Linked DNA regions of Arabidopsis thaliana. The protein of the gene in region 1 interacts with the protein of each later gene in a pairwise test. Each region holds a gene or a part of one and is shown in the gene's direction. Other genes may lie near its edges.

Region 1 (7,592 bases):
TTATAATAGAACTTGATGATATATTGGTATGTCGTGTATCATGTTATAACCATGTAGTCAATCATTTTCAAGAAAAACAAAACATTAATAAATAATAGATACAGACCCGCCAATTGTACTAAAAAATATTATGGCCCATATTCAAAACCTAAAATAAAAATAAAATAAAAAATTTATCAGCGCCGATCCAGATTAGAAAGAACTCAACTTCCGTAGGTGTCTTAACAAAACTTATGATTAAAAAAAAACGTAATGGAATTTTGATGGTTAGGATATGAGAAATTAAATTATATAAATATGTGAAAAACGTAACTCGAGGTATTAAATACCTTTGTGTGGTAAGATAGATTGGGGGAAACCTCCACGTGGAACAAGTACCGATGCTTCCGACCACCTCCACGTGGTAACAACAGCTCAGCTTCTGCTCTGACATTTTGACCGCACGTGACTTTTGCTCCGTGCACGTGTGTATCAAGCAGACTGTGCGATTGCATCGTCACGTCATGAATCGTCCGATTGTCACCGGTCATGTAAATGAACGGTTCTGATTGAGACTACTTGGTTAAGTGAGGCACATGCATCCACGTTAAAGAGACTGCTTCAAAGGTAACTAAATCCGCACATCTTTACAATTTCTCCTTTTCGTTCCAACAAGATCCACACTTCATTTCTACATCTAGATAGATCAACTTATATCGAAAGTTTTTTTCTAATGCATCATTTGTCCACAAATATATGATATATCATTCCATTGTAATATATACTATGATCAAAATAAAAATATCTCAATCGAAAGTGCTAAACTCATTTTCAATTCTTATTGTTTGTCCGTCTGCATATTTTATAAGCTTTCACATGAATCCTTTCGTGCAAACTGTAAATAATTAAAATACTAACCTGTTTAGATCATCGAATAATGCGTGCACACAAATGGATTTAGATATGCACATACTTATACCTTACATACACATTAGACAACCATAAGATGATCGTAAAATAAAAAATTAATACACTAAAATATTCATTTAGTATCCTAAGAAAATAGTTATCGTTGATTATTCGTTCTTATCGTCTAAATTATTCTTACTTATGTCCGACCCCCTTCTAGCTGGTACAGTAAAAGTGGATAATTAATACTAATACCTATCAAACAAGTGGGGAAACTTTGGTAAGAATTTCAATTTCTTTAATATATATAGCTTGGTACTACCAAGATCAAGTAGTAGCATAGAGGAGGGAATATGTGTGCGAATTAATATTAAATGCTGTTAATTAATTAACCAACTAATGTATGGTTAAATAATTAAAAGTATTCTAAACGTTGAAAGCAATTATGTATAACAATAGTTTTCTAAATATAGTTCATATTCAACGTTTGAAAGAATGAACATATTAGCTCAAATCTGTTAAAATAAGTGGTGTTCTAAACACGAGAGTTCGATTACAAAACTAATGAATCTCGATCATTATTTTCTTCTATGTTAGAATACTGAAAAGACATTTAATTTGCAATACATTATCGCATAGTGTAATAAATGTTAAGTTCCACCTCTTAGCAAAAGACTGAGAGAGGAGGTCCAATGAACATCGTTGACAGGAAAAAAAGAGAAAAAAAAAACGTCTTAATTTTTTCTATACTTGATAAAATTTAAAAGACATTTAGATTATAATTATTAACATACTAAAAATGTGTTTCATAAATTGCAAAAAAAGCAAAGAATGGTTTGACTCATATTTATATGTAAGAAATAACCTTTGAGTTGAAAAGAATACACAAAATAACTTAGAACCAAATAGTACTTGTCGGTTACAGAAATTTTGGCAATATTTAGTCTATTTTAGCCTTTCTCTTTCTTCTTCCTTCTTTTATTTCTTTTTCATGTTCTTTACGAGACTTTAGCCATAGAGTTCTCTTTCTCTTTTCATCTTTAACACAATTCATCTTCTTCAGATTCACCATGTCATTTTCTTTTTCTATTTCTCTCTCCCTCTCCTAAAATAATCTTCACCACCTCTCATAAAATATATCATCATATCTCTTTATTTTTGTTCACCCACATGTTCTCTCTTTCTTTTTCCATAGAAATCTCTCTATCTCTCATTCTTTATTTTCTCTTTTTACCTGAATTCTCCGTCAATGTCGTTGTGATATAAGAGATTAAATTTGATTTTAAAACAAATATCTGATTTTAAAATGCATGTATTTTAAGAACAAAACATGTTATTAACACTAATATATTAATATTTGTCATGCTATCCAACAAAAACTCATGAAATAAATAAATATTTGTCATGTTATCCAATAAAAACCCATGTAATATTGTAATTTTTTAAATTTCGCAATCTATAAGAGAATTGCATGCTTTTTATAAATATTTCGTGCTATTTCTGAAAAACACATTATTTCAGAGAAACATATATATCGTGTATATATATTCTGTATGTATTTTAAAGAATTGCATGCTCTTTTGTAAATATATCATATTATTTTAGACAAATACATAAAAACTTTATAACTACAACCACCGATATTTTTGTAAAAACAAGAAAATCTAAGGATATTTTAGTATTTTATCCACCATAGAAAATGTTATTTACCTAAGTTTCCTGACACAAGGCTATTCTCTCAATTCTTTTCAATTCCATGGTTACTTTCTAATATTACCCTATATAATATTGATATTTTCAAACTTTTGATGTAAATATGAAATTTTCAATGTAGAAACTTAACACATGTCACTGGAGAGATGATGCTTTTTATATGTTTATTTTAAACAAATCCCACTTAAAATCTGTATACACTTTTTTGGGGTACCTTATGTAGATTATATCGAATTTCATGAATTTCTAACTTAGAAAGTTAATATACATTGATAATAAATAGTTTGGTCTATATTTTTTTTACTATCAATAATAATTTATAATTAGTTTAATAAAAATTGAAGTGCACTCACTCATGGTAATAGTTTTTAATTAGTTTTAGAATATATGACCAAGACCAAAAACATTTTGAAACTGAATTTAGTTTTGAATAGGTAGAATCTCGGTTTTAAAGAAAATGATGAAATTCATAATGGAAGGCGTTACATGCACACGCTTCAAGGCAATTCGATTCATGGCTAACATTTTTGATTCACTTTTATTTTACTTTTTGTCATCTGTTTATTCTGTTTCAATTAAGTGTCGTTTTAAGACTTTAATTTTGTTTCAGGATAAATTTTATTTTATATTTTCAATGCAAATATTTTTTTTTGTTAAAATTTCATGTCTTATCTATGTTTTTCTAACAGATTGACAAAAAAAAAATCTATGTTTTTCTAACGTATTAACTGATGAAAGAAATATAATTGTGTATTAATGAAAGATAGAAGTGAAACTTTAATTAAATTTTAATACTATATGTTAATTAACTTTAAACAGCATATAATGATAAATGGTGGGAGTATTACATTTGTTTCTAGGGAATACTGCATTATTATGCGGACAAATTTGATATGTAACTTTCAAAAACTTATACAATAATTTATATTTAGACTTCTCGTTTGTTTTCTATATAATAATTTCCAACAACTTTATCAAAAAAAATAAAAAAAAATTCCAACAATTTAATATCAGCATGTTTCTTCCATCTCCTATTCATATACCTTTGGCTTTTAAATTGTAAATTTCTTAATTTCCTTTTTCTTTAAATTTTAACTCTTAAAAGTTTTCCTTTATTTTCTTGGTTTGAAGCTATATGCCAAAAAGGGAAACGCATATATCCAGAGAAGAAAAACTCGAAACCCTTGTCTTTTCATGGATTTCAAGTATATTATTAATATGCAATTATTCGTATATTAATATATGCCCCTATGCGTATTTTATTTTTTAATGCGAAAGGAATGATATTCAGCTAAATTTTCGGTGTGTCTATTGCTTTTTTTTTCCCTTTCCTCGTTCAAAAAAAGTACTTGCAGAGTCACTCACTCTCAGTCTCAGCACATGAATTAATTTGAAGCTTCCCTAGAATTCTTTCACATCAATTAATACGACACCGTCTCGGGTGAAGAATCTCTCCTCTCTTGCCCTAAAGCGAGTTAGGGTTTAACACACAAAGCATACCCTTTAGATTTGTGTCTCTTAGCTCTGTTTTTGTCGGCTTGTGTAACCGATCAACTCAAGCTATTGGCTCCTCACCTCCTGAAATTTGACTTCTCCAATGGATCTCAAAGTTTCTCTTATATGAATTCTATCTTCACCCTCACAATATCTTTATATATATGAGCCACAAGAACAAGAAGAGTCAGTAGATGCGGCTGCCATGGACGGTGGTTACGATCAATCCGGAGGAGCTTCTAGATACTTTCACAACCTCTTCAGGCCTGAGCTTCATCACCAGCTTCAACCTCAGCCTCAACTTCACCCTTTGCCTCAGCCTCAGCCTCAACCTCAGCCTCAGCAGCAGAATTCAGATGATGAATCTGACTCCAACAAGGATCCGGGTTCCGACCCAGTTACCTCTGGTTCAACCGGGAAACGTCCACGTGGACGTCCTCCGGGATCCAAGAACAAGCCGAAGCCACCGGTGATAGTGACTAGAGATAGCCCCAACGTGCTTAGATCTCATGTTCTTGAAGTCTCATCTGGAGCCGACATAGTCGAGAGCGTTACCACTTACGCTCGCAGGAGAGGAAGAGGAGTCTCCATTCTCAGTGGTAACGGCACGGTGGCTAACGTCAGTCTCCGGCAGCCGGCAACGACAGCGGCTCATGGGGCAAATGGTGGAACCGGAGGTGTTGTGGCTCTACATGGAAGGTTTGAGATACTTTCCCTCACAGGTACGGTGTTGCCGCCCCCTGCGCCGCCAGGATCCGGTGGTCTTTCTATCTTTCTTTCCGGCGTTCAAGGTCAGGTGATTGGAGGAAACGTGGTGGCTCCGCTTGTGGCTTCGGGTCCAGTGATACTAATGGCTGCATCGTTCTCTAATGCAACTTTCGAAAGGCTTCCCCTTGAAGATGAAGGAGGAGAAGGTGGAGAGGGAGGAGAAGTTGGAGAGGGAGGAGGAGGAGAAGGTGGTCCACCGCCGGCCACGTCATCATCACCACCATCTGGAGCCGGTCAAGGACAGTTAAGAGGTAACATGAGTGGTTATGATCAGTTTGCCGGTGATCCTCATTTGCTTGGTTGGGGAGCCGCAGCCGCAGCCGCACCACCAAGACCAGCCTTTTAGAATTGAAAATTATGTCCGTAACATAGCTGTAACCAAATTTCATTTCTCAAAATTAAAAGAAAAAAAAAATCATCTTCATTGTTTGGGGATCGTTTGGTTTTTAATTTAGTTGATCATATATGAATATTTGAATTCGTCTTGAGATGATATACTTCTCCATCTGCATTTTCTCTTCTTTTTTAATCACTAGGGTTTCGTGCTGTCCCTATATATTATTTGTTATATGCTTGAGTTCACAATAAAAGTGCTATTAGAAGCCAATTTTTATATATCACTTAGTTACCTTTGTAATTGGATAACAAAAAAGTTATTGAGTACATTTTATAGAAATATTGAAATGGCTCATACTTGTATATATCATGGATGTGGTATGTGTAATCCCCTTTTTGAGTAGTTATCAAAGGTAATCACTCAATCTATGTTACTATGTCTATCAAGTAATCAACCAACAAATCAAACATCTTGTTCTTTTTAATTCATCTAGATACCATACATGAATCTTCGAGATTTTATGATTTGAAAATCTCTAGATTGAATATCTTGTTTACGCATGGAATCTCTGATTTAGTACATGTTTCACCCAACTGAGTTCTACATTGTATTTCGATGAGATCAATATGAATATTTCTTCGTTTTTATCAATTAATCACGAAAATAACGCGTTAAGAATCTACCAAAAAGTAAATAACGCTTTAGAAATTTTACGAAAAACTAAATAACTATTTAGAATTTTATGAGTTTGTTTTAAAGACAGCGGTTACTGTGATAATTGCATACTATATTTTTGTCGATTATAAGAAAAGATTCGCCCACCCGTTACAACGATATAAACATGATTTTTCGACGGTTACAAGTTAATGGCTTAAACACGAGAACATTACATGACCTGCCAAAACCAAAATATGAAAAATTTGTCCCAGAGTTTCATTTATCAGTTTCCTTTTAGAGGATTAGGAAAGTCTATAACAACACAGCCAAGTGGGGCTTTAAGTACAAAGATGTGTGAAAATGAGGAATGCATCAAGTCCCTAGGGAAACTATGTATGGACCGTATGAAAACGTATATTTAAAAAGAAAATCAAGTGAAAGGAAAAGCTTGTACATGACCAATGCATGTCCAAAGGAGATTTGTGGTGAAATATCTTCAATGAGCTTCTAAGAGAAGACAGGTGACATTTATGTATATAAGAAATGGAGTCTCATCATGTTTACTGTTATACAATGAGAATGAGAGATGGTTTAAAAACCTCTTATTTTCATAATTTTCATATATTTGACATTTTAGGGCTTCAACCATGTAAAGAGAATAAAGGGTAATGTACTTTGAGACCTTTTCGATACATGCACTGTGACTTTATCTTTTTAAGATATCCATGTGCTCATGTCAAGTGCCTTACATGCAGTTGAGCAACGATTGGGTTAAGAAATCTTGTTCATTGTGTGTTTTATACGAACGGCTGATAAGTAAACGTAAATGTGAAGGTTTCCCTATATATACGAATTATGATTGGATAGATATATAGATCCTTTAAGTAACATATGTTCTACACTATCTAGACTACTAACTATTTTACACCCAAAAAAGAAGAAGGTCTACACTATTGTGTGGGCCATAGAGCTTGAAGAACATATGTTACTTAAAGGATCATGGTTCGAACTACAACATTTTTAAGTATGATTTGTTATTGTAATTGTTTTACATGAAAATAATATCATACTTTTTCATAAATTCTGAAGATTGGTATGAATTCGACCAAGAATCTCACGGTTGTAAAAAGAGAGAACTTAAACAAAAATTGTATACTATAGTAGTATAGTCACATATTATTAACTATTACAATAGAATGTTTTGCTAATTTTTGTCTGATGTCAACAGAAAATAGATAAGCATGAATATCTAAAAATCACAAAACGTGTTAGATGTAAATATATAATATTGGGTCTAATGCAAATTGGAAGTTGCAATAATATGTTTAGTTTTTTTCTTCAAAAAAAATTTTCTTGACTTTCCTCATCATATATATATATATATATATGAATGCAATTGTGGATCACGAAAGCAACACGACACATCTAAGGCCTAATTTTCAGGCCATTTAACTCAACCCAAAAGCTTCCAGCCCATAAAACTTCAGTACTCTCCTACAATAGGAGCCATTTAACTTGATTGAACTATAAATTGTAAGTTTTCTTTATGTGAAACCTGAAACTGAAATAAACAGAGAAAACAGATGAAAACTTCATTTTCTAAAAGATATATACCAGACACTGTGATTGTTGGTTGCATACTTGAAGGTATAAGGAACAGCTTCCTTACTAACTTTATATGGAACATCAATATTCATTTCTCTACTTTAATATTCAGAACTCAAGTCACAGTCAA
Region 2 (8,258 bases), on another chromosome or scaffold:
ATTCTAAAGACGCGTGTACTTATTCAACACGATGCCAATGCATGTGGTTCATTAAGATGTAGCATTATATCACCGAAAATGGAAGAGAGAAATAAAAATACTTACTATTATTAAAAGTGGGTAGCTTGGTGAAGGCACTAAAGTTTAATGGGAGAATCTTTTTAGCAATTAATTCGAGGGCATTATAATATCCACTTCCAACCACCACATTACTTAATTAAGGAAAACAATTTAAATCATAGTATCTTGTTTGGTTTGAAAGGAACGTGCACGTGTCACATCATCTACACTTGTCTTTCTAAATCAAAGAACTTGATTGGATTTGGTTAAGCCTATTAGTAAGAGTTAATAAGACAGAACCAAAGAAAAGGGTTTGGTTAGAGGGGCTAATTGGGAGATGGGAAGTGCAATAAATAAGAAGAAGGTTCATTAAATAGTTGTGTATGTGGGCATCCAAAGTCCCATCTTAATAATTTAATAATCTCCTCGGGATAGATAACAATCTTCTCTTCTTCTTCTTCTTCTTCTCTCCATTTTCCTAGAACATTAAAAGACAAATATGGAGCATTGTAATTTAATTAATCCTAAAGGTCATTGTGATATCTCACTTTCGTCTTTAAGGGAGGGGGGATGTTAGAAAAATGTTGTGTTTTGGGTTTGTGATCAGAACCCATGCACATTTCAATTCAATGCATCTCATAATAATATACGTAGTAACGTCTACAAGAACTTTTCTACCACTTGGCAGATTTAGGGACTATGTTTCTGTGTCTCTCTATCACCCCTAATTCAATAGCATATTAAAAGTTTACTCTAAAACAAGAAGTCACGACAAAATGAGATCATTGTGAAGATATAATTGGTTTACTATAAATTTCATGTAAGAAATAAGTATCCGTATTTGTAGGATATCTAAATTATGTGATCCGTTTTACACTTTTACTTAAGAGAAAGTTGAATTCCTAGAAAAGTTTCAAATATCCAATTTTCTCCTCTAAAAGACTAAAAACGAAAAAAACCATAAGTTTTTAAGAAACGAAAAAAAAAAAGTATTTTCATTATGAACTATTCAGTGAATTCATCTATTGTTTTTTCCTTCAAATAGTAAAAAGTGAAAAATGAAGACGGTGGTAATAATAGTAAAAATGATAACAATAACTAATAACACTTCACTTCATATGTTGGTCTTTTAGTAACTAGTTGAATCTAGAAACTAATTTGTCCAGCCTTAATTTACACAAAACTAGTAGCAAACTTATTCGTTAACACAGTTTCAATTTTGGTGATATTTTTCAATAAAAGCCTAAGGACCCAAGCGATGTGAAGTAAAAGCATGGAACTCTCTATTTAAAGCCTTAAGCCGAGTGTGGACACTATTTCTCTTTAGTCTCTCTACGGAACCTGTCTTCTTGTCTTGTCCAAAATCGGATTTTTAAGAGTACAAGTGAGTTTATTTTGGGGGCCGAAATCTGTCCTGGAGGATACAGAAGCAAGATGAAGTTAATAGATCGAAGAATGAGGTTAACGGAGCTGCTCTTACGGTGCTCCATCAGTGTCTTCGCTCTCCTCGCGCTTATTCTAGTTGTGACAGACACTGAGGTCAAGCTTATCTTCACTATCAAGAAGACGGCCAAGTACACGGACATGAAGGCGGTTGTGTAAGCTTATCATAAACCCATTTCGGATTTAGTACTTTGACTTGAGATAGATTGCAAAGTTTGTAACTTTTTTGTTGTTATTGTTGGGATTGATTGATGCAGGTTCTTGGTGGTGGCTAATGGGATAGCTGCGGTTTATTCTTTGTTGCAATCAGTTCGTTGCGTGGTGGGTACGATGAAAGGAAAGGTTTTGTTTAGTAAGCCTCTTGCTTGGGCCTTTTTCTCTGGTGATCAGGTGAGTTTTAGTTTGTGTTTCTCTTTTTACATACATTTTGTTTGCCAAAATTAGTGAATTGGATGTGGGATTTTTGGGGTTTGGCTTTGTTATTTTGAGATCTCAGGTCAAATTAGAGAAAAGTAGGGTACTATGTTGAAAAGTCTCTAAGCATTAAATGGGTTTGGTTGGATATCAGAATTGAATTAACTTAGGTAGGAATGTTGCTTGTTTGCTTGCATTTGGAATTGAAGTTTCGTTGGCCATTTAAGAGTGTAGTTGTGATTTTGAATGAGCAGGCGATGGCGTACTTGAATGTGGCAGCCATTGCAGCAACAGCAGAGTCTGGTGTGATTGCTAGGGAAGGAGAGGAAGATTTGCAATGGATGAGAGTGTGTACTATGTATGGAAAGTTCTGCAACCAAATGGCTATAGGAGTCTCTAGCGCCTTGTTAGCCTCCATTGCTATGGTTTTCGTCTCCTGCATTTCTGCTTTTAGTCTCTTCCGCTTGTACGGTGCCACCAAAGACCGCAGAACCACGCCGTGGTGAAGTGAATGCGGCTTTGTCTTTAGTAGTGTTGAAAATGTTGTTGTTAAAAAAACATATAGTAACAAAAGTGTAGGCTCTTGTTGGTTCTTCTTCTTCTTCTTCTTGATGATGTTATATGTGACAAACAATATGTAAAACTAGACTATTGATGTTCTGTGTCAATGTGCCATATGCTGTGATAAAAAACGAGACCAAGGTTATTGACTTATTGTTGAGCAAAGCATCACCCTCATTGTGTCACCGACCTCTATTGCTTCTCTATTTGCATTTAGGCCCTTACACAATAAGATTATTACTAGGCCCGCTATGCAATTTACATTTTTGACTTTTTCAACCCCTTTTAGGTAATTTGAGACCCCAGTTTGCAATTTTAGAACCAATAGAGGAAGAAAGCACCTTTCGACGCCGTTCTAGTTTTCCGATACCCTCAGCTTCTCCGACACCAATCCTTAATCTTTGCTCCTTTGTTTTGGTTATACTAGTTTCTTCGTCTCTAAAGATTAGATTTTTAAGTTTTGAATAGAAAGCGATATGTCAGAGAAGTTTTCACCGACTTTGAGGCTCGGAGATCTCAACGATTTCATTGCTCCGTCTCAAGCTTGTGTCATATCTCTTAAGGACTCAAAACCCATCGTCAAGAAGTCTGATCGACCCCAGGTCCGAAATTTCCATGCTTTGCCATTGAATTTCATTCTTTCTTCAAGTTAGTCTCTTTTTGTGTTTTAGGGAATAGCATATCCTAGTCTTTTGTTATGAATCCTATATATATCTTCACTAGCTAAACGTGTCCTTCTCTGTGCTAATTTGAATTTGAAGGTTGTGATTGCCCCAAAACAGCAGCTTGAACCGGTTAAAATTTCTCTCAAGGATTGCTTGGCTTGCAGGTTTGTCCTCTCATTTACTTTGTCTGAGTCAGTTTTAGAGTTTAGAGTGTAATGGTTTATGTATACGATTATACAGTGGATGCATCACATCAGCTGAGACAGTTATGCTTGAGAAGCAAAGCTTAGACGAGTTTCTCTCTGCTCTTAGCAAAGGCAAGGACGTGGTTGTGTCCGTTTCTCCACAGTCGAGAGCTTCCCTTGCGGTTCACTATGACATCTCTCCTCTTCAGGTTTTCAAGAAGCTTACTACGTTTTTGAAGTCTCTGGGAGTTAAAGCTGTGTTTGATACTAGCTGCAGTAGAGATTTGGTACTTATTGAATCTTGTAATGAGTTTGTGAGCCGTTATAAGCAAGCTAATTCTGATGATGGTGAAAATTCTCAATCCCCTCTCCCTGTGCTTTCCTCTGCCTGTCCTGGTAAGCAACTTTACTAGTTTGACGTAATGCTATGTGTCACTATGTGAGAGTAACGTGCGGAAATTTTGGTGAATCAAGGTTGGATTTGTTATGCTGAAAAGCAGCTTGGCTCATATGTTCTGCCGTATGTGTCTTCTGTTAAGAGTCCTCAGCAAGCTATTGGAGCTGCGATCAAACACCATCTGTGTCAAGCATTAGGACTCAGGTACGGTGGTACACTTGAATCTTTGGTTACCTTTCTGAAATTTTGGATTCAACGTGAGCATTTCATGGAACTAGGCTGCATGAGGTGTACCATGTGACTGTGATGCCCTGTTATGATAAGAAACTCGAGGCAGCAAGAGATGATTTTGTCTTTGATGATGGAACACAAGATAATGGAGACCTTAAGCTGACAGAAGTTGATTCCGTGCTAACAACGGGTGAAATCATGGATTTAATAAAGGTGATACTGTGATAGAGATTAAACCCTATTTTCATTGTAATTCTGCTTCCATACCGCAGAAAATGTGAATTTGATTTTGGATTTCTATATGTGTCGTGCAGTTGAAAGGAGTTGACTTTAAAGATTTGGAGGAATCTCCACTTGACAGAGTGTAAGAAGCATTATTATTTCCTCTTCTCTGCTAGTGGGTGATGAATACATACGAAGTAAACATTTCCATTTTCATGCAAAAAACAGGCTGACGAATGTTACTGAGGAAGGAGATCTTTATGGTGTAGCTGGGAGTTCTGGTGGTTATGCAGAAACAATATTCAGACATGCGGCAAAAGCACTATTTGGACAAACTATTGAAGGTCCTCTGGAGTTTAAAACTCTCAGAAATTCTGATTTCCGTGAAGTGACTCTTCAAGTAAGTTCTTAGCCAGACTATGAACAGTTTTGAAATTTTCTCTCATTAATCCCCCTCGGATTTGTCTCATGTTCGTCATCTTTTTCTTGAAGTTGGAAGGTAAAACAGTGTTAAAATTTGCGCTGTGTTACGGTTTCCAGAACCTCCAGAATATTGTTCGGAGAGTGAAAACGCGCAAATGCGATTATCAGTATGTAGAGATTATGGCGTGCCCTGCAGGTTCATCTTCTGCAAACCCTAGTTGAAAAACGTGTCTTATATGTTGACTTATTAACCGTTCCCCAAAATGCTCGCTCTCAACAGGTTGCCTAAATGGTGGTGGGCAGATCAAGCCAAAGACAGGACAGTCCCAGAAAGAACTGATCCACTCACTGGAAGCTACTTATATGAATGATACTGTAAGTTATCCTTGAGTCTCATAAATCACTTTTAACTAAGCTAGTAATAAATAACCTGCCCTTTTGGATCCAGACTTTGAATACAGATCCATACCAGAATCCAACGGCGAAGAGATTATTCGAGGAGTGGCTTAAAGAGCCTGGTTCCAACGAGGCGAAGAAGTACTTGCATACTCAGTACCATCCGGTCGTGAAAAGTGTTACGTCGCAGCTCAACAACTGGTAGACCGTAGACAAACTGGAAGTGTTCAAATTTTTTGACTGACAAGGCAACAAAAACGGTTCTATATTGTGTATTTAGATAGGAGATAAGTGTGAAGCTTTCTGCTCAAATCTTTATATGTAAAAGACAAATCTCAACATTACATATAAGGAAAATTACACGATCCTACTAAGCTGGAGTTTTTTTTGGTTGGCTTGCAATAGTACATTGATACAACCTCCAACACGGTTACACTTATTACATAGCAGTTACTGCTGTGATAGTTACTGTGATAGAGAGGCAAGGAGCTTGTCCTTCAACTGCTCAGCGGTGCAGCCACCCTGAGGCCGGAGAGTGAATGTGTGAACCACACCCTCCTCTGTGATGGCCACGTTGGAATCATGAGGCATAACTTCATTCTCCCTCAACGTTTGTATCACCTTTGAAACTGGATGAGTTTCCAACGGACAGCTTAGCCTTACAACTGCATCATCATGCCTCTGTTGATAATCAACCTCTGCTGGAGTTATCTGATTACTCTCCCTCCTCTTCATTATCTGCTTCTCTGTTTCATACACCCTGATTTTCTTCTGCATATCCGTGATGTAAGTGATTGCGTCTGCAAGGAGCGAAGCCTTGTCCATCTTGGAGATGTTAGGCACCACCGCTCTCAAAGCGTAGAATCTCTGGTTCAGCTTCTCCCTCCTCTGCCGTTCCGCTTCCACATGGTTTAGAGCCTCTTCTCTTCCATTTGCTGGTTTTCTCCCTCTCTTCCTCGGCTTTTGCTCGTCAGTTAGATACAATGTCTCATCTTTCCCTTGCTCATAACCATACACTTGATTAGAGCCTCCGATCGCTTGCACCTCATACGATTCCAATGAGAAACCCGTGTCATCCTCGGTCTTCGGGGAGAAATTAATACTCATAGACCGAGGTTTTGCTCCACCAAGACTCAGCTGTCGACCAAAGATTTTAGGAGCTTCTTTAGCCTGAACAAAGTCAGACCCACCAAACACTGATTTCACCATCTCAATCACACTCTTATCTTCTGGAATATGTCTTAAAGAACCAAGCTCCACAACTCCAGAATTCACTGGTACAGACAACACAGTCTGAAAACCAGCTGACCTAGCTAAGAAAGACCTAACCCTATAATAACTCAAGCAGCTAGGCAAATCTGCAGCCCAAAGAGGCTTCCCAGACACATAGGTTCCAGCAGGACCGTACTTATTGGTATCACACCTAAAGGAAAAGTACAAAGAAGCCAGATAAAACATGTCGAGATCAGTAAGAGCTCCTGATTTCACCAAACGATGATCTTCATCTGAACCAACGAACGACAAGTGAAGCTTGCGAAGCACACGTCTTTTGATCTCATCTTGCTGAGAGTAATCCTCACCTGAAGCACCCTTTTTGACACGGCAATGACCATCTCCCCAGATCAAGACACAACCATCAGAGCTATTAACGTTGGACGCTAGCCAGAAAAGAGCATAATCCCAATCAGATCCTTCAACAACGTGACGTAACCCTTGTTGGAGATTGGAATCACTTGGTGGTGAGACAAGCTTGGACAAGGCAGTGTTGGAAGCTGAAGCTGTTGAGATGAAAAAGTCGCAAGCTTCAGAGCCTATGGTGGATTCAACCATCGCTCGATCTTCTTGATTCTCCCAAAACTTTTGACCCATTTCTCCTGAAACGTTCATTGACATGGAATATACAAAAATTAGGGTATGGAATCAAATAAAATTAAAGGTATTTGGATTGAGATCGCTGCTTACAAATGAGATAGAAGATGATGGGTTTCGTGAGGAAGAGGAACGAGAATCACGTGATTCTTGCTGAGACACCGAATTTAGGGTTTGTTGGTGAAAAAGCAAAATCCTTTATAAAGGATATAACTCTAATTTATATTGCTGAGAAAGGAATGATCAAAGAGAAGACAAAACCTGAGCTTGGTTCACTTCAGATCTGTAGTGACTTGTTCTGAAATTGACGAAGAAAGAAGAAAAGAGGAAGAGACTATGCGAGAGAGAGAATATGGGTTTAATCGTAATTTAATACCAAGGACATCATTTCCTTCAGTTTTTTAACTGCAAACTATACTTTTGCCTTTTCTTACATACCAAACCACAAGTCATTGTGGTGTAATATCTATTCAACTACAAGTAAACCCATATCACTGGATTTTTGTCGAGATTATGTGTACATGTTGGGAAATTATTTCGTAGTACAACCTATTATGATGGGAGAATCGAAACTCGTCTTCTGAATTAACTTATCGCAAATCACCGTTAATAAGCGGAAAAGGAATTTACACATCTTACAATTATGCGCAAATACAATTGTTAATTGGATGAGTCATGCCATATTCTTGAGATGGTATGATAGGTATCATTACACCATGTAGTCAATCACGATTTTTTTGGATAATGTGGTTTAGAAGAACTAATCGCGTCTAATATAGACAAACTTATTCGTTCAGCAAAACAACAATTCGATATTTTTATTCGATTGACATGAGTCTTATAAAATTTATCACTAGATGTCTAATAAAAAAGGTTCAAACATTTCTAATAATTCGATTTTCGACCAAAATAAGAAACTTTAAATTAGCATCAAACTATCTTATATGGTTGTTTCCTTGCTTAACCTTCTTCCAAATCAATTTTTCAAATTAGCATCAATAAGATTTTAAAATACATCATAATGTTGTTCCGATAGTGTGTGACAACACTAACCATTTATTCCTATACAAGTTTATTTACTTGCTAATTCATTTACTGAAAATGTCCATGAACAAAATACCTAAAAACGAATAACCATAACCCAACCAAATATTAAAGACATCTCCATCAAGAAGAAACCCAAACAGTTTTTCAAACAAAAAGAATATTAGTATTTTATTATAATTTTATATATGATTAAATTTTTATTTTAGCGAACCAATTGAAAAGAGAAAAATATTATGATGGTTTGTATAAAGTATTTCATAGTTTAACGAGAAACATTCTACACTCTCTTTCTTTTCCTTTTATTATTTTTATTATTTTAATAATAAAAAATTACCAATAAAAATG
Region 3 (7,744 bases), on another chromosome or scaffold:
CAAACAATTTAAAAGTCAAATCAATAAATTCATAAACCATACTTTGTTAGACAATAAAATCTGGATTTACGTTTTAGCTGCCTAATCTTTTTTCGTTTAGACTTTAGCTTATCTGCCTAATTAACTAGTGTGATCCACACTACTATTATTCTTTTTAAGTTGCTAACGTAAACCGTCAAGAACTTGGCGTACAGTAGCAAAAGTATAGTTGTCTCTTGTTATTATTCAATTAGATCTATACCTCTTTTGGAGCTGCCGGAGCAGGAGCAGGAGGAGCCGCCTCCTTATCTCCACCATCGGCTTTCTTCTCTCCAACGGCGGCAGCAACAGGTCCCTCTACCTTTGGCGGTGGATTCGCGAGAACCACCTTTCTCTTGGTTTTCTCCTCCAACTTCTCCTGGAGTTTCACTGGATCAATCTTTCCGACCACCAAAAGCTTATTTCCACCAGTATCTGCCGTCACATCTTTCACTCCATCAAAGTGCTTAACCATTCGCTTTATCTTCTTAGCGCAGCCTTCACAGTGCATATCCACTTTGTAAACAAAGGCAGAGACAACCGCGGCGACCGGTGGTGCTGCTGCTGCCGCGGAATCTCCTCCGCCGCTCTTTGGCTTGCCGTCAGTAGTCTCAACTGGGACTACGGTGGCAGCCGGCTTCTTCTCTTGTTCAACTTTGGGACCTTCTTGGACCTCTCCCATTCTTGGTTGAAGATAAGGATATATTTTTAAGGATTTTTATTTTTTGTATTTAATAGGACGAAGAATTGTTTGAACGAGAGTAAGTGGAGGCAAATGTGTGTATTTATAGAAGAAGAAGGAATGCGTGAAGGTTATTATTTTACTATATTATCGATACTGATTTTTTACTGAATATTATATGGTTTGATATTACATGTTCATTTCCGTATGTGTGTATTTGTTGGGGGCTGAGGTCAGCGAGAGTGGGCGTTTGACGCCGGTTTGACACAAGTGATGGTACGAGACACGAAGGCACCAAGTTTCTGAACAACATTACTTTAATCATCCGTGGATAATATTAAAAACAAAAATTGTTTGTGACGCAAATAGTTGATCAAGTTTAATGATTTCTTAAAGGTAACATTGCTTTTGAAAACAAAAAGAGCATCATTTCTCAGCTTTGACTACTTGATGACTTGAGTCTAGATTAGCAGAATCTTATATCAGTTTAAGGTAAAAATACATTCGACCAATTGTCACAATTCAAAGAATATACATCCTATACCTTATCAGAAACAAACTTTAGTTAGAAGATTTCATGGCCTTAAATACGAAATCAAATCATTTTATGAAGTCCGGTAATTCGTTTATTATTACAAGTTCATATAGGAAGAAAAGTGATGTTTTAATCAAATCATTTTTGTATTTTTGAATCACATCATTTTTGAAATTTTATCAATAAAAAAGAATTTGTAAAGAGATTAAAGATAAAGATAGATTCTTTTTCTTCTGATAAATGTGTATTGGTTAAAGTCATGATTGTGCAAATTGCATAGTCTTTTCTCATTGTAAGTGAAGTTGATGGAACCTCCTCTTCTCTTCTCTTTTATGTTTTATATTATTTAAAAAATTCATTTTAAGAAGTGATTTACTACAATTGATTCAAAAAAAAATCTTCTAACAGATTTCCCAAAAAGTTTTAGATATTTTGTTGTATTTTTAGGAAAAGAAACCAAAATTTATGATATTAAAATACCACATGTTATATTATATGATCCAATAAACGCATATTAAGATCAGATCAAAACTTTAAAATACAAGCTATACGAGAAGTCGCACATGGTTTTAATCTGTCAAGTAGTTTGACCGATTAATATATTTGATACTAGTACATAGAAGAATTCGAGACATGTGTGTGTAATGTACATATATTACTAAATTAACATCAACAAAAATGTGTATCATATATCTGAACAATTTTTTAAAAAATTGTATATGTTTTCGAGTATCAAGAATGTAATTTCACGTTTCGTTGTAATACACTATTCGTATCACTATCACCTACTGGCATACACTACTTTACATAATTCGTTCAGCACCAATAGCTTATATAATTATTTTTTAAATTCTTGCATAAATCAAAAGAATTTTGCTCTCCTAAAGAGCACAATTAGTGATTTTAATTAAATGATTACTTTGGTTTTGTTAGTTTCAGCTTCATGGAAACAGCCAAGAACCGCCTATCTACAAAAAACATGGGCTGCGGTATAGAGATAGAGACAAGAGGAATTGCAATATTAACTCACTGAGTTTTTACTTTTCTTTGAATGCTAACATATTGGGTTCGCTGTGTGAAAATTGAATTTTATCTGAAAATCTTTCAACTGCATAAACAGTAAAAGGATAAGAAAAGTTAAAAAAAAAAAATGTCCCAAGGGTTGCGTAATTGCGTTTCGTTCCTCCTTTCACCGGTCCATTTTGTCAACATCATGTTTCATTGTGTTTTGTTGATTTTTTTTGGTCATATGGTCCTATGAGTGACGTAATACATGAGGTGGACACATATTATTATATACACATGAAATATAGAGTTTGATTGAGAACTTTCTTGTCTATTATCTAAAATCTTTCGTAAAGTTAACGATCACAATGACCACAAACTTCAACGTACGTAAGTTTGTGTTTGTATTTTGAAAATCGATGTTTGGATCTTTTGAAACGTTTTGTTCAGTAATTTGGAAGTTTAGGGTAGAAATGGTCACTTATTATATGTAGCTAAATACGATTTCAACACATACAAACTACAAAGATTTGTTTTCGTGTTCCACAGTGTAACACGTCAGGCTGACTTGGATAATTTTAACTAACTTTACCAAGGTTAATATAAAACATAATCACTAATTGCAACATAAATAGACCATTTTAATTTCAGGTTGCAATTAGAGATTATGGTATACACAGCCACACAAAATCAAGAAAAATATGGCAACAGAAAATCGTCTCGTTTCAACCCTTTAAGTAGTTTCATCCATCCATATGGTGCCATTTTAAGTACACATGCAAGTCACCATTTTTCCTCATATTTTTTTGGCAAGTCTCATTGCTCGCCTCTCGTTGTAGCTTACAAAAATGACCATTCAATATGGTTATAAACCATCTTCATGCGACTGGCAAAAAAAAAAAAAAAAAAAAACCATCTTCATGCATGTCAGTTTTTTGTTGCTAGAAAGTTCGCCGTACATATTTGTCTCTCATGTAAAGGTGAAAATGGCTGTAACATGGATTAAACTATTAAAGATTCATTTTATGAAATATAATTTCCATTCATTTTGCTAGGAAATAATGAGGAAAGAACAAATTAAAAGAAATTTGTGTTCATCACAAAACGATAGCAATGTTTACGGAATGGAACCTAAAAGTAAACTACAGTTAGAAAGTGAAAGAAAATAAGATAATCAAAATGATATACAGTAACTTGGTCTTAGGAGTCTAAAGAGTAAAATCTATCTGATAATTAAGACAACATGAAAAAGATGGGCTATAGAAACGTTTTGAAATCAAGTTTAGTGGGGGCAGAGACAAAGTAGAACCAACTCATCAAGAACTCAATTTTAAACATCTAAATGGATCTCCATGCAACATTATTACACTAATAAATAATATGAAAAGTTTGGATTTGGTACCGGTCTGTTTCACTATCATTGTTACAATTATTGTATTCCTCGGCAGGAGCACCTTAGTTTATTAGAACAATTAGACCCCATTGACGAACCAATATGGTGTAGAAGTATCTGGAAAGAAAAAAGGAACGTCCCACATTTCAAACAAATCTTGCTAACCACGTATTATCTAGCTGGAGGAATGAGAATGACACATTGTCCTTGCTCTAGATGTAAATCCACATAACATAAGTAGGATCGGTTCTATTAAAACATTAATTGGAAAGCATTTCAAACTCGGGATAGTAAGTGTGGTGGAGACATGACGTATTGGTGACAAAAAAAATTATAGAGAGAAGAAACAAGCTTCAAACCCTCCCCAAGACAACAAAACCATCATTGTGGGGAGCATTAAGAGTATGCAACGCAAAGAGGCCTTTCATTCCCTTGCTCTCTCCACTTCTAAGAATTTATTGGTTTCTTGTTATACTAATAAATTAATGGAACCCTAAAAACAAGGTTATGAGATTTATCAGTAAACCTACGCTTCTGTCACTAATTCGGTCCAAGTACATTGCTAGAACTCTGTGACTTATCTTACAATGCTATTTCAGAATAATTTCAGACTAGATCTTAATTGGTTCCGTATGTATTACTGATTTCCAAATCATTAATTATTAATGGGCCTATCTAAGCCTGTTTAATAAATGGGCCTTGCGTCAAAGTCTCCATCACTGAAACCGCCCTTTTTAGGTTAATCAATACTTTATAACCGAAACTGATATTTTTTCTAGGGTTTCCTCTTCCGCATTCGTCGTCTTCAGCTCCTCCTACACAGTTTCTTCTCTGAATCGTAAGTTTTGAATTAATCTGCAAATTCGTTTAGATTCTTATCAATTAGTCACTAATTTTTCAATTGATGATTCGATCTCAGTACTTAGGAAGCTAAAATGGGTAGATGTCCGACTAGAAAAGTGAAGAAGAGGAGATTATCTCACAAAACAGCTCGCCGTGACAAATTCGAAGTCAAAGGCGATGACTTGGTTTACACAGAGTTGCGTAAACCGGAGACGGAGATTAAGCCGTTACAGCTTGACGAGGATTTGCCTGGAATGGGTCAATTCTACTGCTTACACTGCGAGTAAGAGAGATTCTATGATTACTCTATTGACGATTCTTTTGGTTTATGAAACTTTTTTTTAGCAAATACATTATCTTTGAATTACTCTATATGACCCATTTGTTTGTTTTACCTTGATATGTTTTAGTCGATACTTCTCCAACGTATCAGTGAGGGATGATCATTTCAAGACTAAGAAACACAAGAAGCGGTATGTGGATTCTTCTCCTTCCTTGGCCTTGGTTTCTATTTTGTTTTGTGTTCTTGGAACTGTGTTTGGTTCTTGTGCTCGTTTACTTTCTTGCTTGCAATGTTAAAGCTATTTCTCTTCACTTCTGTGTACCTAAAGATGTTTTAGCATTTGTAATTTGATTACCTTTGTATGATTATACATGTCTGTTGCAGTGTTGCTCTGTACTCAAGACTTATTATATGTGTTTTGTCCACTTGGATTGCAGTGTGAATATGATGATGGGACAAGCGCCACACTCGCAACTCGATGCAGATTTAGCCGGGGGAATGGGGATGCCGGACAATGGCCCAAAGCTGATGTCTAATTTGGTATTCACAGAGTTGCGTAAACCAGAGACGGAGGATTTACCTGGAATGGGTCAATTCAACTGCTTACTCTGCCAGTAAGATTATATGTGCAAAAAGACAATCTTTGAATTACTCTAGATTTCCATGTTTGTGTGAACATTTGTTTGTATTTGATTGACCTTGTCTCTCTACCTTGATATTTTTCAGTCGGAACTTCTCCAATGCATCAGTGATGGATTATCATTTCAAGACTAAGAAACACAAAAAGCGGTATGTGGATTCTTCTTCCTTGGTCTTGGTTTCTATCTTGTTTTGATCTTGGAACTGTGTTTGGTTCTTGTGCTCGTCTACTTTGAATTCATCTTGCTGGCAATGTTAAAGCTATTTCTCGTCACTGGCGTAGCTAAAAATGTTTTAGCACTTGTAACTTGATTACCTCTGTATGATTATATTATTGATCTATGCATGTCTGTTGCTCTGTACTCAGACTTAATATCTTTCTATTGTCCATTTGGATTTTTGTGTGATTGCAGTGTGAAGAAGATAGAGCGACCAGCGCCACACTCGCAACTCGATGCAGATTTAGCTGGTGGAATGGGAATGCCAGACAATGGTCCAAAGCTGATGTCTGCCTGAGTTTTTACAGTTATTTTCCTTATTTAGTTAATGGAACCCGAAATTTTGTTGTAAAACTATAATCTCCTAAATTAATGATACAGGTTTTTTGTCTGTTGCCAAGTATCTATCATGCAGTTACTGGTTTAGCTTCACTTAGAAGTTTAAATCTGATAAATCATATATTGTTTGTGTTGGTTGCATAAAAAACTTAACCATATAAGCCATACCAATCGTTGTTTTGACAAAATAGAAAGAACAAAACACTAGCTCTCTCAGCTGCTGATATGCGTTTGTAATTGAGATCACATTATGCAGACCTTGTTCTCTTCCGGGGAACTATTGCCTTTCCACGAGCAATCACGCCAAAGTGAAGCCTAGAAGCAGAAGAATCCCATAAGAGTCCTATATCGTCTCTTTCTTTCAAACTTCTCCTTTTGGATAAAATCTTCCAGCCAGTCACCCGTTAGAACATAGGTATATTGTACTGCCAGACGCAGCTCATGCATTGTGCTCGTGTCGTTGTCCTATACCTTAACAATGAGTCCGCTTTTGCAAATCAGCTTCAGGCAGATGTCCTCGAATCTGCTGTTCGAAGAAGCTTCTGGGCAGACGAAGTTGGCCATAAGTAGGGTTAACATTATGCTCGGTCAGTCTCTTCTTGATGGTCCATTGAGGTGCGTTGTTGACAAGTCTAGGGATAGGCATCATCGTAATCTCTATTCCATCTCTTGCTACCTTCAATATGGATTCAATGCTCCCAAAACAACGAAGAGAAATGTTACTTGGGTCTCCCAAAGTGTCAGAATTGTTTGTGCCATGTTCTTCACCTGAAACGGTAAAAGAACATAACATCGACTCTGTTGATAAAAAGGCACAACCACAAGAACCTCCTCCGAAATGGAAAGGATTTAGCAGGTTTTCAGTGTTCATGGTGATGTCATTACTTTCGAAGTAGTTTTGGTTTTTCGAGAATGGACCATGTCGACTGTTAAAGGCTTCTTTGTCTCTGTTCATCGGAGAAACAGAGGAGCAAGACGTTTCAAACGGTTCTTGGCTCATAATTTGCTTCTCTGTTACCTTGGATGACAAGAAAGACAAATCTTGAGGGCGCTCTCGTGGTTCTTGACTCGTACGAGCTCGATTCTTTTCCGATGGAGATGTACAATCGTCTGAGAATGACATTCTCGTTTCGCGATTTCTTCTTCGTCTAAGAGAGTTATCGTTATAACGATTTCACAGAGATACTGTATGAGGGACTAATGAGACCGCAAGTGATGATATATATATATATATATATATATATATATATATATATATATATATATATATATATATTATTCGCAAAGGCTAATCCAAAATGTTGGCAAGGATTCAAATAAAAGAGTGATAACATTTTGAGAAAACCCCGCCGCTAAGGCATCCACCAAGAAATTCTAAATTAAGTGTTACACAGACAAGAGACACTCAAAGTGATCGGGAAAAGTATGCAGGCCCTCTAGTGTTTTGTTTCCAAGCCCATAACGGAGCCTAAATTCATCATCCGCAACACCTTGATAAATGACTCTTCTAACGCTGTTCCTCTTTGGATTAGGAATAGGCGTAATAGACTTGAATATCAAACGGATCGAGGTGCAAATCTCATCTTGATCTATACCATTTCTCTGCTTGCGCATGTTTTATCTTCAGAGCTTTTCTTATGTCCCACTCCCAGTATCCATCTGTTGCATATCTTTTCATTATTTTTAATTTGCATTTTCACGGTGTTCACAAAAATATAATCTAATCTTACAAAAAAAATCTTGCGTTGATTTGTAAAAGTTATAAATGTAGTTCAAGTTCCAGTATCCA
Region 4 (6,347 bases), on another chromosome or scaffold:
TTTAGTGTCTCCATAGTTTTGATTTTGTCACAATTACATTGCTCCATTTGTGTAAGACGATCTTTAATCATTTGCTTCACTCTCATTCTAGATTTATTCATTCTCATTTTTGTCTCTATAACCAAGCGCTTATAAAATTATCATCCTTTACATTTCATTACAAAACCATCTTGGAGTTAATAATAATCGATTTATAATTTTCTCTGCCTCTCTTAACCAAAGATCAGAGTTCAAGAAAATAACACAAACCACATGACACAACGGGAACCAAGATGAATCATCATCATTACTCTCTCGTCATCTTCCACCTAATTCTCTTCCTTTCCCTAGATTTTCCCACACTTTCTCACCGTTTCTCGCCGCCGCTACAAAACTTAACTCTCTACGGCGACGCCTTCTTCCGCGACCGTACAATCTCACTAACCCAACAACAACCTTGCTTTCCCTCCGTCACAACACCACCGTCAAAACCATCTTCCTCCGGCATTGGACGAGCTCTCTACGTGTACCCAATAAAGTTTCTCGAACCTTCCACTAACACAACCGCTTCTTTCTCTTGCCGCTTCTCCTTCTCCATCATCGCTTCTCCTTCTTGCCCTTTTGGTGACGGCTTCGCTTTCTTGATCACGTCTAATGCTGACTCATTCGTCTTCTCTAATGGCTTCTTGGGTCTACCAAATCCTGATGATTCTTTCATCGCCGTTGAGTTTGATACTAGATTTGACCCGGTTCACGGTGACATCAACGATAACCATGTTGGAATCGATGTTAGTTCAATCTTCTCTGTTTCTTCCGTTGATGCGATTTCGAAAGGGTTTGATCTTAAAAGTGGGAAAAAGATGATGGCTTGGATTGAGTATAGTGATGTTCTTAAACTGATTAGGGTTTGGGTTGGGTATTCTCGTGTTAAGCCTACTAGTCCTGTTTTATCAACACAGATTGATCTCTCTGGTAAAGTTAAAGAGTATATGCATGTTGGTTTCTCTGCTTCGAATGCTGGTATTGGGTCAGCTTTGCATATCGTTGAGCGGTGGAAATTTAGGACCTTTGGGTCTCATTCTGATGCGATTCAAGAAGAGGAGGAGGAGAAAGATGAAGAGTGTTTGGTTTGCTCAGGGGAAGTTTCCGAAAATCCGAAGGAAATTCATCGTAAAGGTTTCAACTTTAGGGTTACAGTTGTTGGATTAAAGATACCAGTTTGGAGTCTTTTACCTGGTTTGGCTGCAATTGTTATCCTCGTGGCGTTTATTGTTTTCTCATTGATTTGTGGCAAGAAAAGGATTAGTGAGGAAGCTGATTCGAATTCGGGGCTTGTTCGGATGCCTGGAAGGTTATCCTTGGCTGAGATCAAATCCGCGACGTCGGGTTTCAATGAGAACGCAATCGTTGGTCAAGGAGCTTCTGCTACTGTCTATAGAGGCTCTATTCCTTCCATTGGATCCGTGGCCGTGAAGCGGTTTGATCGAGAACACTGGCCACAATGCAACCGTAACCCTTTCACCACAGAGTTCACCACAATGACTGGTTACTTGCGGCACAAGAATCTGGTTCAGTTCCAGGGGTGGTGCAGCGAAGGAACAGAGACGGCCTTAGTGTTTGAGTACTTACCTAACGGAAGTTTAAGTGAATTCCTACACAAGAAACCCTCATCTGATCCATCAGAAGAGATCATAGTACTCTCTTGGAAGCAGAGGGTAAACATCATTCTCGGTGTGGCTTCCGCACTTACATATCTACACGAAGAATGTGAGAGACAGATCATCCACCGTGACGTCAAGACCTGTAACATAATGCTTGATGCCGAGTTTAACGCCAAGCTTGGTGATTTCGGGTTAGCTGAGATATATGAGCACAGTGCGTTGCTAGCTGGACGAGCTGCTACACTCCCAGCAGGTACTATGGGTTACTTGGCACCAGAATACGTGTACACAGGTGTGCCCTCTGAAAAAACAGACGTGTACAGCTTTGGAGTGGTGGTTCTGGAAGTGTGTACGGGGCGTAGGCCGGTGGGGGATGACGGGGCGGTGCTTGTAGACCTGATGTGGAGCCACTGGGAGACAGGGAAGGTGCTGGATGGGGCTGACATCATGCTGAGGGAAGAGTTCGATGCAGAGGAAATGGAAAGGGTGTTGATGGTTGGGATGGTTTGTGCGCATCCTGACAGTGAGAAGCGGCCAAGGGTGAAGGATGCTGTGAGGATTATACGCGGGGAGGCGCCGTTGCCAGTTCTTCCGGCGAGGAGGCCTTTGTTGAGAATCCGACCGGCTAACGAAGCGGAAGAGATGATTGTCGATGGTTTGGTTGGGGAGGATCTTCCTTGGATGACTCCTAAATCGCACTTTAGCTGATTCCTTTTTTTGGGGCTTTCTGTAATTGGTTACATTTTAGTTTGAGATTTGGAAAATTTGTAATCTTTTTTATTTGTCTAGTTTTGGAAACTAAAGATTATAAACCTCCCGGAGTAATCAGTATTTCATAACTCAAATAAATAGATACATCAAGTACATTTTGTTATAGTCTAACAAAACATTAATTCATATTTATTACCCAAACAGACTCATGATTTGTACAGCATTACACGGTTGCAAAAAACTGTTAAATTCTATTGACATACATACACGGGTGAAACAACGTGCATGCAATGGTGGTAAATGGTAATAAGTAATAGCAATGGATTTTAAAATACTATTCTAATTTACTAGTTCAATAACACACAAAAATGGCCTTTTGGTTGCATGGTTTAATACTATACTAGTGATAAGCCCGTTATTGGACCAAGAAAGTCTTGATTATAATATACTGAGTTATTGGACAAAAAAAAAGAGATAAATAACTAAATTTGTATGGTTTGAAATATTTTTCCATTATATTTGAGATAATTTGATAGTTCCACAAATTGACCCACTAGATGAGTCAATAAAATAATTCAACCATTGAAAATAGATTATCGAACAACTCGAATCAAATGCACCGTTACGATAATACCACATTCCAACGCCAATTTGTTTTTTTTATTAATAAGTACTTCTCTTTTTTAATTATTTTTGTAATGGTGGAGAAAATAAAAAGGAAGGGCAATATTGGGTTTAACTGAAAATTTGATATTAAGAAAAGCCTGAAACAAGGCGCAACACGCAGCTCCAGAGAGTCGGTGGTGGTGGAGAGATCCGGCGTCGTCGGATCCGAAGAAGAAGATGAAGGTTTCAAGCGGTGTGGTCGCTTCTGTCATTGCCGTCTCCACCGCTGCTCTCTCTTCTTCCTCCATTCTTCCTCCAGTCTCCCCAAAGGTTTTTCTTTCTTTTTTAAGATCTGCGATTTCGACGATTTCAATTGTTCTGTGGTTTGAAACTGAGATGTGGATATGAATTGATCAGGTTTGGGAATCGAGGAAAACGAATGGGTCGGACAATTTCGAGCCGAGGTTTGATGGGTTAAGGTTCATAGAGACGCTGGTCACAGCACACAGATGATAAGATTACAAATACCATTCTTCTTCTTCTTCTCTTGGGTGATGCAAAAGCTTTGTTTTTTCCATTCAAAGCGTGAGTGCGTCACTTAGGTCTTTAATCTTATCATTCTCATCTTCTCTTTTGTTGTCTTCTATTATCTCTGTAATGAGAATTTATTAACATTCTTTTGCTTTCAAGGGATATGCTAAATTGAACTCTTTCTTGTTGTGAGCTAAACTTTATTCATATGTTGGTGTGCTTTTACTTTATATGAGACAAAGCAATGTGTGGCGATGGCTCTAATTGGTGTTTTGAATCATTGGGTTGTATCTGGTTAAACTTTAAAGAGCCGTTCAAGGTCATCAACCTAGTTGGATTTAGTCAAATTCTGGTGTATTGGAAAAAAGACTAGTTGAAGCAAACAGGCTGTTGAAAGACATGAGTGGTAGATGTTCTAGTTGGTGTTCTGTCTCCATGTAGCTGTCTCAAATACCTAGCAAGTGTTGTAATGAGAGCACCGAGAGAGAAGAGGACAAGAATGATCTGTCATAAGAGAAGTGAGAATCCGAGAGGAAGCAAAACAAGAAAGATGCTCTCTCCTCTACTGCTTGCTCCAGAGACACTGACTTCCAGCTCATCCAAACCAACATTACTCTTTCTCTTTCTTCTTTTCAATTATTTCTTTATTACTATTTCACTTTGAAATTTAGTGAATCCTAACGCTCTGGTCCCATCACTGCCTCCTCTATCATCTTGCTCACAACCACTCACTACGCTCTCTCTCTCTCTCTCTCACTTCATCTATGGCTTCTTCTTCTCTGCAGTCTCTCTTCTCTCTGTTTTGCCTTGCTCTGTTCTCTCTTCCTCTCATCGTCTCCTCCATCGGCATCAACTATGGCCAGGTCGCTAACAACCTTCCTCCCCCTAAAAACGTCATCCCTCTCCTCAAGTCTGTGGGAGCTACAAAAGTCAAGCTCTATGACGCCGATCCACAAGCCCTACGTGCCTTCGCCGGCTCCGGCTTCGAGCTCACCGTGGCCCTCGGTAACGAGTACCTGGCTCAGATGAGCGACCCTATTAAAGCCCAAGGCTGGGTGAAGGAGAACGTCCAAGCTTACCTCCCAAACACCAAGATCGTGGCCATCGTAGTGGGAAACGAAGTCCTCACCTCAAACCAGTCAGCCCTCACGGCAGCCCTCTTCCCGGCTATGCAAAGCATCCACGGTGCTCTGGTGGATTGTGGCCTAAACAAGCAGATCTTTGTGACGACGGCTCACTCACTAGCCATCTTGGATGTATCCTACCCTCCCTCGGCCACTTCCTTCCGCCGCGACCTCCTCGGCTCCCTCACTCCCATCTTGGACTTCCACGTCAAGACTGGCTCACCAATCCTCATCAACGCCTACCCTTTCTTCGCCTACGAAGAAAACCCCAAACACGTTTCTCTCGACTTCGTACTCTTCCAACCAAATCAAGGCTTCACCGATCCTGGCTCTAATTTCCACTACGACAACATGCTCTTCGCTCAGGTCGACGCAGTCTATCACGCTCTTGACGCTGTCGGCATCAGCTACAAGAAAGTTCCCATTGTCGTCTCCGAGACCGGATGGCCTTCCAACGGTGACCCGCAAGAAGTCGGAGCCACCTGCGACAATGCTCGCAAGTACAATGGGAATCTGATCAAGATGATGATGAGCAAGAAGATGAGGACGCCTATACGACCTGAGTGCGATCTCACCATCTTCGTCTTTGCTCTCTTTAACGAGAACATGAAGCCTGGACCAACCTCCGAGAGGAACTACGGTCTCTTCAACCCTGACGGAACTCCGGTTTACTCACTTGGGATCAAGACCTCTTCCACTCATAGTAGTGGTAGTGGTAGCAGCAACTCCACTGGTGGTAGTAGCAGTGGCGGTGGCGGTAACACTGGTGGCTCTTCCAGCGGTGGTGGCATCTATCAGCCAGTCACGGGTAACCCATCACCGGATTACATGTCCATTTCCTCCGCCGGGGTAACGTTTTCGACTTTACACTTCATTTGTTGTTTTACTTTGACAATTTTCGTAGACATTTAGGACTAGAAGGTCGTTACTGTTAAGTTGCATATTTAGACATATTTTGTCACTCTATTTATCTGTTTTGTTTCATTTAAACAATAAATTTAGTGGTAAAAGAAAAAAAAATCACAAAGCTCGAATAAGGAAGGATTAACATTGTGGTAAAGTTAGTGACTTTTGGTTAAAAAGTTGGAATCTTTATTATAAACTCGAAAAACTGTGACAATGTGTTTTGGATTGGTTATCACGTGGAGATGACTCTTGTTTTGTTACTTTTGTCTGAAAATATAATTGATTTAGAGTGCCTCACTTTTTGACTTGTTGACCTCTTGAATAAACGAATTAAAGGAGTGTGACATAGGCAATGCTTGTTGACGTTTTTGCAGGGAAAAGGCAGATTCGTTGAGTGTGTGTTGTTCTTCTTCTTGCTTTGCATCATCAAGCTTCGGTTGTAAAAGCTTCTCCACTAGATCTCGTCGGCTTTGTACTTTTACTCGGTTGATGACGTGATATAGCCCCCAAATTTAATTTAATTAGTTTTGTGTTGGTGTTTTGGTCGGAGGATGATTTAGGAGACATACCATCTTTGTTGTGCCGACCTCCTCTCCAACTCTTTTTTTTTTTCCTTTTCCATTCTCCTTTTTCTTGTTTAAGCATAGATTATTTAAATAATGAATCTTAGTTGATTAGATTTTTCTAAAGAAGATGATGATTTTCGATAATTGTATAACTTGAAGACATTTGAGGCCAGAGTAGTGGCAGACAGAATCTTGGCACAAGCAACAAGTGCTAATTTTTTTTTTTTTTTTTTTTAAATATTATTAATCCTCATCCCAAATGG

The links.
Region 2: the proteins of SOB3 (region 1) and NAR1 interact in a two-hybrid assay, tested with the Arabidopsis thaliana proteins (one large-scale study listed by BioGRID).
Region 3: the proteins of SOB3 (region 1) and AT2G36930 interact in a two-hybrid assay, tested with the Arabidopsis thaliana proteins (one large-scale study listed by BioGRID).
Region 4: the proteins of SOB3 (region 1) and AT5G42110 interact in a two-hybrid assay, tested with the Arabidopsis thaliana proteins (one large-scale study listed by BioGRID).

Annotation. Positions count from the first base shown.
Region 1 is NC_003070.9:28,701,232-28,708,823, forward strand, and holds SOB3 (Putative AT-hook DNA-binding family protein), read left to right. Parts: upstream 1-3,731; 5' UTR 3,732-4,300; coding exon 4,301-5,209; 3' UTR 5,210-5,460; downstream 5,461-7,592. Other genes in the region: AT1G76510 (ARID/BRIGHT DNA-binding domain-containing protein), read right to left, coding at 7,450-7,561. UniProt on the Arabidopsis thaliana protein: Transcription factor that specifically binds AT-rich DNA sequences related to the nuclear matrix attachment regions (MARs). Acts redundantly with AHL18, AHL22 and AHL27 in the regulation of flowering and regulation of the hypocotyl elongation.
Region 2 is NC_003075.7:9,266,207-9,274,464, reverse strand, and holds NAR1 (ferredoxin hydrogenase), read left to right. Parts: upstream 1-2,795; 5' UTR 2,796-2,954; coding exon 2,955-3,080; intron 3,081-3,239; coding exon 3,240-3,307; intron 3,308-3,383; coding exon 3,384-3,724; intron 3,725-3,802; coding exon 3,803-3,929; intron 3,930-4,003; coding exon 4,004-4,169; intron 4,170-4,270; coding exon 4,271-4,320; intron 4,321-4,406; coding exon 4,407-4,578; intron 4,579-4,670; coding exon 4,671-4,797; intron 4,798-4,881; coding exon 4,882-4,976; intron 4,977-5,049; coding exon 5,050-5,202; 3' UTR 5,203-5,371; downstream 5,372-8,258. Other genes in the region: AT4G16442 (Uncharacterized protein family (UPF0497)), read left to right, coding at 1,495-1,658, 1,761-1,893, 2,172-2,423; AT4G16430 (basic helix-loop-helix (bHLH) DNA-binding superfamily protein), read right to left, coding at 5,463-6,866. UniProt on the Arabidopsis thaliana protein: Essential component of the cytosolic iron-sulfur (Fe-S) protein assembly (CIA) machinery. Required for the maturation of extramitochondrial Fe/S proteins.
Region 3 is NC_003071.7:15,508,172-15,515,915, reverse strand, and holds AT2G36930 (zinc finger (C2H2 type) family protein), read left to right. Parts: upstream 1-4,308; 5' UTR 4,309-4,471; intron 4,472-4,552; 5' UTR 4,553-4,568; coding exon 4,569-4,759; intron 4,760-4,886; coding exon 4,887-4,949; intron 4,950-5,196; coding exon 5,197-5,373; intron 5,374-5,485; coding exon 5,486-5,548; intron 5,549-5,811; coding exon 5,812-5,914; 3' UTR 5,915-6,018; downstream 6,019-7,744. Other genes in the region: AT2G36950 (Heavy metal transport/detoxification superfamily protein), read right to left, coding at 242-700; AT2G36920 (B3 domain protein), read right to left, coding at 6,428-7,078.
Region 4 is NC_003076.8:16,829,074-16,835,420, reverse strand, and holds AT5G42110 (uncharacterized protein), read left to right. Parts: upstream 1-3,063; 5' UTR 3,064-3,194; coding exon 3,195-3,287; intron 3,288-3,374; coding exon 3,375-3,470; 3' UTR 3,471-3,725; downstream 3,726-6,347. Other genes in the region: AT5G42120 (Concanavalin A-like lectin protein kinase family protein), read left to right, coding at 273-2,348; BG_PPAP (beta-1,3-glucanase), read left to right, coding at 4,253-5,461, 5,893-5,961.